Caenorhabditis elegans: one gene and its partner. The gene in region 2 interacts genetically with the main gene of each other region. Each region holds a gene or a part of one and is shown on either strand. Other genes may lie near its edges. The genes, in order: daf-8 and W03G1.5.

Region 1 (5,730 bases), on a different chromosome or scaffold from region 2:
TGAGGTTATTGGAGTTTTACTTGTGGAGGATTCAGATCAGGCGTGGGTGGCAAACAATTATCTAATCATTTCATGGGCAAAATTGACAATTTTAAGATAAATTCCCACATAAATACCGAACAAATTTAGGGATTTTTTTGTCTAAAATCAGTTTGAAGTACTCAATTTCAGAAAATTCTTCCAAATAACGTGGCAAATTTGGCAATTGCCGCCTACGTTTGATTTAGATCTACAATTCTTAGAACCTCCTCCTTTCAACCGATCCTTTCACAAGTAAAGTGCTCCACTCTCGCAAGAAAAGGTTTTGATTTCACGCTCCAATATCAAAACGAAACTTTTTTTAAATACTAAATTACTTATTGAAAACAGATCACTGTAAAACTCTAAGCCACTTTCTGGATAAATAAAATTTCGATCTGAAACATTTTAAGCGTAACTGTGCACTACTTTCGACGGACGTAAAACTGCTCGGATAACTATTTTGATGATTTCCAAGGATTTTAGGGGGTTTATATTTAAGTGAATATCCTGGCAGCTTTTTGAAAGTGTTTTTTTTTTTGATAATATTAAATTTAATCCATCAAGCTCGATCGGAAAAAATCAGACCAAAATTACATTTCCAAGGATTCTAGAATATTTGGCTACTGTAAACACTTTTAAAGTTGACATAAGTCGTTTAAAAGCTGCAAAAAGAAATCTCGAGCAGTTCTAAAGCCCTCAAAAACAATGTAAAAATACACAGAAAAAGTTTAAAATCTAAATTTTTAAATAAAAAATTTTAAAACTCGTTTTGATGTTTTAGAGTAAAATAAAAACCTTTCTCTATCAACAAAATTGATCACACGCAAATTGGAGATTAGGATTTTGGCAAAGAAAGAAGCTAAGTTCTGGATGAACATATACGTGGTGGAGCTCCCATACAAGTGAGTACACTATCGACCCAATGCATCGGATTATTCAAATGAGCCTGAAACCAAACAGGCGATCGGAGGACGGTTGAACGACGATAGTGTTCTCCCCAACCTTTGCAGAACGAAACACGAACTGTGCACATTCGTGAGAGACAGTAGACGTCTGAAATGTTGGAAGAAAAAAAATGTAGCTGACTAGAAGGTTTGAGAATTCGTATTCTCCGAAAGTTGCATCGGTAAAAACTATACACCAAAAAATGTCAAAAACTTTTTATAAATTATTTTTAGTTGACAATTTTGATATATCGCACAATAGCCGTACTTTGGACGAAAAGTAATATGATATAATAGAAATTACTAATTCACTCTCACCTTGATATGTCTTCTCAGCTGCTGTTCTCAGCTGTTTGGAGAATAATCTCATGTCAAAAACTTTCATAGTTCCAGTTGGAGGCAACTTTGATACAGTATTCAATTGGAAACCATTCTTCATATTTGCACCGATTGACTGTACAAAAACAGGAATATTGCACAAATTCTCTACATAGACTTCACCAGCTAACAAGTAAAATCGAACACCCTTTCCAATGAGACCACGAACTTCGGCCGTTTGTGGAGAGCGGTTTGGATTGTTGTACCAACCAAGCGAGAAACGGCTGTAATGATGTTATTTTGATATTTACTTGAATTTATGTTTTAGTTCAGTGTACACTAGTGAATGTAGTTAAAATTCAGATGCGTGTAAGTTCTAGACCAGGGCTTCTGTCAATGATACAAACCTTCTGGTTTCTGAGTCAGTGCGACTAGCTGTAAATCCATCGATCAGGCAGTGATGCCCTTCTACATCGGCTTTCTCTCCAATCATCGTTCCTTCTTCATAATAAATTAATTTCAGCCAACTCGGCGACTCTTCATATTCTACACATTCATATATTCCAGCCTGTCGTGACAGATCTCCAAGTTCTAATGCCGAAGATCGATAGAGTGGTCGAGGTTCAATTGGTGTGATAGGCCGTCCATCTGCATACGTTGGCTTTCGGTTTCCATTGTTCTCTGATGAAAAATTCTCGGAATGCATGATGTCACTAACTTCGGAATCATCCATCATTTCTTGATCCAGACTTATTGTATCATTTCCGTTTGGAATAAACTCTCGAGGAGAAGCTGCATGACTGTAAATTTAAAGTTTTATAGATCTAAACTAATATTTCAATTTTTTCCAATATTCAACAGTTTCGTCGGCCCGACCGCCAAATTTAATTTTTTTTTCAACCTTTAGGTCGAATTTCGAATTCTACTTTCAGTTTAGCCAGTTCTTTAGATTGTTGAATCAGTATTGTAAAAACAAAAAAATTCCAAAAAAGTGAAATTCGTACCTAGCTGGAGATGAGAGTCCAGATCTATAATATCCGGGTTCCTCGTCGTCTTGTCGATTACTTTGTTGCAGTAACGATGCGAAAGATGATCCTAATGACATCGTGGTAGAGCTACACGGACTTCCATCAAAAGAGCCAAAATTTCCGTAATTCATATATTGAAAATCTCCGTTTTCAGCTGCATATCGATCATAGAGAAGCTGAAATTTTTATTTTTGAATGTGAGGGGGTGACAGTGGATGTTTTGTAGAAATACGTGCAAATATTTCAGTCAACGTTTTTGGTAAGTTTGCAAATTTCCAAAATTTCTAAAGAAAAAAAAAGATTAATTGCAACTTATTTACTGGATTTTGCATTTTGGAAAGAGTTCAAAAAGGGATATCATCTCTCAACAAACCTTAATTTCATCTCCTCTCATCGTCACATTTGGCACATCCCAACTTGCAACCACCTGTTCCTCTTTCAAATCCTTTTGATTCCAATCATCCAGTGCATCCTCAGTCCGAATCGGAGGTTCACCGTAATCCAATTCCTTATTTACAATAATTGGTGGAACTTGGCACGTCGGTAGTTCAACCCATCGATAATGATACGGATTCAGACAAACATTCCGACTATGGGAATTGAATGCATGTCGACACGTTAATATTGATTTCACTTGAGATTCATATCGAATAACCGGAAATCTGAATGCTCTCAAGACACACATGATAGCTCGTCCAAAGTTTCCAATGAGTTTCTCATTGTGTGCAGGACAGCATCGTGTTTTTGGATCACCTTTAATAACGGCATCGTAGAAAGCTTCAAAGCACTGGTGTTTTTTAGCTACTCTAGAGAGTAATCGGGTAACTTTGAGAGCCCAGTAGATTGTTCCCTAAAAAATAGTTGAGGATAGCTTGACACTTCAAATAGGGCAATTTTAAGGATTTGAATTTCTTAGGAAAAGTTTACTATAACAAAATTTAAAAAACAAGATATGGGCTTTTCTCTTTTCCTGTAATTTTCTCTTTATTTTTTTTTTGGATCTTTTCGAGTCTCCAACATACATTAAAACCTTTTGTCGTAAATATCCTTTCAGTTTCTTTAAGTATTACTATTTTTGAAAAAAAATTGTTTCCTGTTTTAAAAGAAAAGGCTAATTTGAGAGACACATTCTAAAATTAGAAAACGTATAAGTTAATGTTTATGTAGGTTGATTCTAAATATTTTAAAATAAAAATTCGCTAATATGTCTGGACATTTGATGTTTGATCAAGATACGGTATCTCTCAACTCTGCTCTTTTTTAAAGTTTCTTGTTCACTTACTTGCTCGCCGGCTGGCCTAGAATATGAAATTTAAAATTTGCAGATGGCTTTTTAATTTTTAAAAGTAGCCAGCGAGACTATTTGTGTTGAAAATTCAAAAAAAAAGTTTCAAATCTTCAAAAACATACATCTCCTTCAGTGATAATAGTTTCTTCTAACACTTTTTGAGCCATTGCCTCAAGTCTGGGATCAGTAGGTTCTGGTGAAGGAAAATCGTCCATTTTCGTAGTTTTAAAACTGAAATTTCGAAGAATTAAAAAAAATATGGGAGGAGATGTTAGGCTAGAATAAAATCCAAAAAAATGGGCCGAGCTTAAAAAGCAACGACCACAAAAAAGGACTGATTTGGGATAAAGAATAATAAATAGTACAGATGATTTTATATATGAAATTAATATTTTTCGTTGTGCATTGCCGAAATTCAAAAAAAATTTGAATCAGAAAACAGAATTATATCCAAAATGATAATAGAACCTTCTGGTAAGTCATAAGAGTCAGGTGAGCTACTCAAATGGGCGGAGTTTCAATATCTACATAGAAAGGCGAAATGAAAGAATTATGAAATTCAAGAACTCGGAATGAAAACTGGTATGAACGTGTAAAAAATGATAAGAAACAACAGTTTGTGATAAGATTTTTGTGTTGATCAGAATCGTCATCACCTATAAAATCAAGGAAAAATAGAGAGAGAAATGAAGAAAAATGAGAGGAAGTTTTCATTTGATTTATTCAACTTTTAAATGGATTCGAAGTTTTTTCGATATCAGGAACGCGGTTCCAAAATGATCGAAAATCTAGATATTTACCTGAATCTTGATTTTGTTTTATACAGAATTTTTCTGAACTCAATGAAGCCGATGACTCCTAATTAATTTATTCAAGTTTCGTTCATTTAGATATGACAAGGCATCACGAAGATCTCAAGACTCACCCGGCTTCTGATACGTGACCTAGAAATAGTTATAACTCGGCCAGCAATTTATCAAAAGCAAAAAAGTTGGGAGGAAAGTATAATTTCATCTTTTGAAATCGTTTCTCTTAAATTTTAGCAAATGTCCATTTTTAGAATTTCTTTGACTATTTTGAGTTTTTATTTTAAAAAAAAGTCCATTAATAGAAACTAACATAAGTACTACTAAGAAGGCGTCATATTGTTATTTTTGTTTCAGATGGATGTACGTCACTACTTTTTATTGAGGTGCTCTCATGAGGAACCAGAATAAATAAACTATTTTATAACACACTGTACCATTTCCAATTGTTTAAGAAATTAAAAAAATAGAATAGAACTCACAGAAAATCAGTTTTTTTCTGAATCTGGCGGCGAAAAAAGCCAAGATATGGACGGAACCTAATTTTGGGGTGTTCTCTAAGCAAATTTTGAACATTGATTTCGAATACTGAATGTTAGAAGAACGCCAAATTGACGGCGAATAGATTAGGAAAAAAAGGTTTTCAAAACAGTAATAATGTATTTATAAATTCTATAGAAGTATGACATTCTGAGAATATTATAGAAAAAGAGATTTCGTATTATTATTATTATCAAATCATTCTGTGAATCTTCGTATCATATGACTTACTATTAAACAACCAAAATGAGCTGAACCTAAAGCCTTGAAGACCACGAAGTGACCACAGATTAAATACTGGAGGAAGAAACAAAACAAGTAAATAATCATAACAATTTATCTATAAAATCCTTTCAAAAGTTGAAGTAAACAACATCCTTTGAGATATCATGATTAAAAAGAATGAATAATGTTTCTAAATTTGTATAATCCTCTTCCTCTTTTATATTATTTTTATGATTTCTTCTGACTTTGAAGAGAAACAAAATCGGATTCAGATAAATTTCGAAAATTCTTGATTAACTCGGATTAAATGTCTCCTGACAATTGCACAACGAGCAAAACAGATGAAGGGTAGAAGAAGAAAGAGAATTCGTAAGTAAAGAGAATCGAGAAGAGAATAGAAACTGACATAAAAAGTTAGAAGGTTTTATGATTAACATATATCGCATGTTTCTTCGTGTATCGAGAACAGTTTTTTCTCTCTTTCAAATGGAATTTTGAGAGCGAGAAAATTGGCAAATATTATTATTTTTCGTACATGTGAATAGTTAAGAGCTCTCTCC
Region 2 (4,147 bases):
GGTTTCGAACATTTTCAGAAAACATTTTTTCTGTCGAAAAAAGCCTTGGAACACCAGTATTACAGCATTATTACAAGTACGTTTGACCGATGTTTGTCTGCTAGGTACACATGCAAACAATTTTGAACCTACGAAGTAGACTGAAATTTATATAACACTGCCACTAAATTAACATCTTCATATCGAAATTTGTTACTAATAAATAGCAACCAACATCCAACTTCACTTTAGTCAATTCGTCATATTTCAATTTTCCATTACTCCGATTTCATATTTTGCAACCTCTAAAGCATAAACCACACCGAATACTACAAACTCTGCGTGTCTCAAACAAAAGCAAACTACACACTCATTGTGTCAATTCCTCTCTCTCTCTCTCTCTCTCTCTCAAATTGTTCGTCGATCAACAGAAAGTGGTCGAGATGTCTTCGCCTTTTGGAAGCGATCAGTTGGCCTTTTGGGGAAGCCTAGGAGTCTGGTGGAAATTGGAAAAAAACAGACGGAAAGGAACTCATGTTTGTTCAGTTGCCTAGGCAATTGCCTTCCTGGAAGAATCAATGTTCTCTTTTTTTTATTTCACCTGAAAATCTGAAAAAAAAACAAAAAACATAACACGATTTTTTTATTTATTTATTTACAACTTTATTGATCACAAATAAATATACATTATGCACAGTATAATAAGCATCAGAATTAAGAGTTTATGGGGAGAACGAACGATGTCCATTATGATGATGGTGATGGCAGTGACCGCCACGACGATGTGGAGGCCAGAATGGTGGTGGTGGTGGGCATGGTGGCCAGAATGGTGGAAAGTGATGATGTCCATGATGCGGTGGGAATGGACGGCATCCATGATGATGATGGTGGTGGTGGCCGTGACGAGATGGAGAACGTCCATCATGGTGATGATGGTGTGGTGGTCCGTGGTGTCCATGACGCCCTGGGCAGTGTGGTGGCCCGTGACGTCCTCCGTGCCCGTGTCCTCTAGGAGAGTGGGAACGGGATCCATGTCTTCCATGGCGTCCTGGACAATGTGGTGGGCCGTGGCGTCCTCCGTGACCATGACGACCTCCTGGAGATCCGGAGCGGGATCCATGCCTTCCGTGGCCTCCATGACGACCTCCACGATGATGCCCTGAGCCTCCGTGACCATGACGACCACCTGGAGATCCGGAGCGTGATCCATGTCCTCCGTGGCCTCCATGACCATGACGACCTCGTGGAGATCCGGAGCACGATCCATGCCTTCCGTGGCCTCCATGACGACCTCCACGATGATGCCCTGAGCCTCCGTGACCATGACGACCACCTGGAGATCCGGAGCGTGATCCATGTCCTCCGTGGCCTCCATGACCATGACGACCTCCTGGAGATCCAGAACGGGATCCATGGCGTCCACCGTGTCCACGACGTCCTCCCGGTGACCCCGATCTTCCACGATGCTCAACACCTTCGGACTTTTGCTTCTTCAGCTGCTTCAACTCTTCTTTCTTTCCTTGCTTCTCGGGCTCCTCATGTCTTCCGGGAGATCGTGATTCAGAAGATGATGATGACGAGCTGGATCCTGAGCGGCCACCACGTCCTCCACGTCTTCCACGAGATGGAGATCGGGAAGATCCAGAAGAAGAAGAGGAACTTCCAGAACGCTCACCTTTCTTCTTGCGATCATTTTCGTCATCGCTGCTTTCCGATCCTGACGAAGACGACTCGGATTCCGATCTTCCATGAGACACCTTCGAGAATGAGGAGCTGCTGCTGCGACGATCATCCTCATCGTCTTCGCTCTTCAGATCCTTCTTCAGACCCTTCAGATCCTTCTCACCAGTTCCCTCAGCGTACAGCTTCACCACAAACCTCGAGAACTTGATCGCCTCCTTCAGATCCTCGGCTGTCTGCAGGAAAATCTGATCCTTCTCCCGATCGATCCAGAAAATGTTGGCAAAGTCGACCTTGAACTCGGCGAGCTTCTTCTTGAGCTTCTCGAGCAATCCGGCGACCTTCTCATACTTGATAGAGAATAGATGAGCCTGTTTCGAATCTTTAGCAGTAAGTTTGAAATAAACTTCGCGCCCCGGGCGCTCGCGGCGGTGGTGATGATGATGTCCGTGAGCCATCAGTAGCGACTCAATATGACAAAATAACTGCATCCGCTCTCGCTTTTTATACTCGGCCACTTGTTTTTCGTGAGATCAGCGGCAAAATGGGTGGAGTCACTGTGAGAGTAAGACGGCTAGAGCAAATACGAGTTAGAGTTTTTGGCGCTGAACACTTGCGCAACCTCACTAGTGTAGTGGAGAAAGCACGTGTTTTTTTTTGGGGGGGGGGGGGAAAGGATTATTTGTGGCTGGCGGGAAAACAACTTTTGAAAGAGATCTTGATCATTCATACCAAAAAAAGGCGGGGTATCATTGGATAAGAAGAGCATACGAAACAAAAACTTAAATTCGAGGGATTAGTAGAGAGGAGAGAGGAATATTCAAAAAATATTACACGATTGGGAAAAATTCGAAAAAAACAGTTTCGAAAACAACTTGGAACAATAGAAAATAAGAATAATAATAATAAGAATAATGATAACGGGATTGATATTCTACACACACACACAAAAACCCAGGAAGACGAGAATTTGGGCGAAAATTAGGGGGAAAATTTAAGAAAAAGGAAAACAAGAATATTTATAATAGGAATTATTCGATTTTCGCCATTTGAAGAATCTTCTCGCACACCTTCTTGTACATGAACGCGTCACCTTTCAGACGCTTTCTGCGGATTCCGACCTGAAATTTTAATGGATTATTTTTTGGGTCAGGTAATGGGAATTTTTATTGGGTAAAAATGGATTTTTTGGCTATTTTTGTTTTTCTGGCATGTTTTCAGTTTTTGAAAATCGCACATACATTTTTTAGTTTGTGTATTCTGTGTTTTCTGGTTTTTTTGGCAAAAAATACAATTTTTCCGTTTTTTTTTTGCTGAAAATCACTAAAATTCAACTTTTAAAAAATTATGAGAAGGTGTACAATTTTCCAAAATATTAAGTTTTTCAAAATAACGTTTCAAAATTACACAATTTTTAAAATTACACAAAGCTTTTTCGTGTTTTTGGCAAAAAATGTTTTAATTTCTTTCGGAAAAAAAATGTTTTCTTTTGGAATCAACCCTACTTTTTGCCGAGCTTTTCACAGTTTTTAGATTATTTTTTTGCCGTATATTTACGCATTTACTGATAAAATCGCGAATTCATCATTAATTACCAAAATATCAAGTTTTTCAAAATAACGTTTCAAAATTAGACAATTTTTAAAAATGTTTTTTTAAACTCAGATAAACTGGAGTCACGGCAGAGCGACAGAAAATCACTTCTAATCAGCAAAAGCTAGTAAAGCCATAGTTTATCAGCAGAGAACCACTGCTAATTAGCAGGTCATTGCTAATTAGCTAAAAAGCACTGCTAATTAGCAGAAACCCACTGCTAACTAGCAGAACATTGATTATTGATTTTATTTTGTTTTTTCTTCGTCGTATTTCACATATTTCATTTTTTTGACCTTTTTTATTGTATTTTTTGTGTGATATGTTATCAATATGTGTTAATTGTTAATTCCAGTGTGTTTTTCAAAGATTTGTATCATTCCCGGCTAGAAACGGAGGATTATGGCCAGAAATCCAAGAACAACAGTTCGAAGAATTTTGAATTCAGCACCCCGGAGTCTTCTGATTCAAAGCGTGACAATAGTTGCTCTAGGTAAATTTTTTAAATGATTTTATTGGGACTAAATAACTACTTTCAGACCCGACGGACAATAATCATGGTTCTCACCAGCCGGGAAGCAATGGTCCATCAAATTCAAGCACCCAGGCCGATAACTTCGAGACGGAAACAACTGCAGATGAAGAACGACAAAAGGAAGATGGTGTAGAAGATGAACTCGAAGACGAAGAAACAACAGGATTCATTGATGAAGACGGGGAAATTCGTTATCCGGTCGATGAAGTGGGAAATTACGAGATCGATCAAGAAGCTGAAACCGATGAGTCATTTTATTTGGACACTCAACGCGATTCTTCTCTATGCGACGAGCGAAGTCAACTGTGTCGTTCTCTGAGCGATCAAAATCTGAGAACAACTTTTTTCCTCATCACTACT

The links.
Region 1: of W03G1.5 (region 2) and daf-8, changing one enhances a phenotype caused by changing the other (phenotypic enhancement), as found in Caenorhabditis elegans (one study listed by BioGRID).

What each region holds. Positions count from the first base shown.
Region 1 is NC_003279.8:8,583,676-8,589,405, forward strand, and holds daf-8 (Smad protein daf-8), read right to left. Parts: upstream 3,833-5,730; 5' UTR 3,815-3,832; coding exon 3,722-3,814; intron 3,162-3,721; coding exon 2,685-3,161; intron 2,488-2,684; coding exon 2,288-2,487; intron 2,084-2,287; coding exon 1,691-2,083; intron 1,568-1,690; coding exon 1,284-1,567; intron 1,075-1,283; coding exon 881-1,074; 3' UTR 749-880; downstream 1-748. UniProt on the Caenorhabditis elegans protein: Probably a receptor-regulated SMAD (R-SMAD) that is an intracellular signal transducer and transcriptional modulator activated by TGF-beta-like daf-7 signaling.
Region 2 is NC_003282.8:504,368-508,514, forward strand, and holds W03G1.5 (PB1 domain-containing protein), read right to left. Parts: upstream 2,118-4,147; coding exon 702-2,117; downstream 1-701. Other genes in the region: pig-1 (Maternal embryonic leucine zipper kinase), read right to left, coding at 2,691-2,780.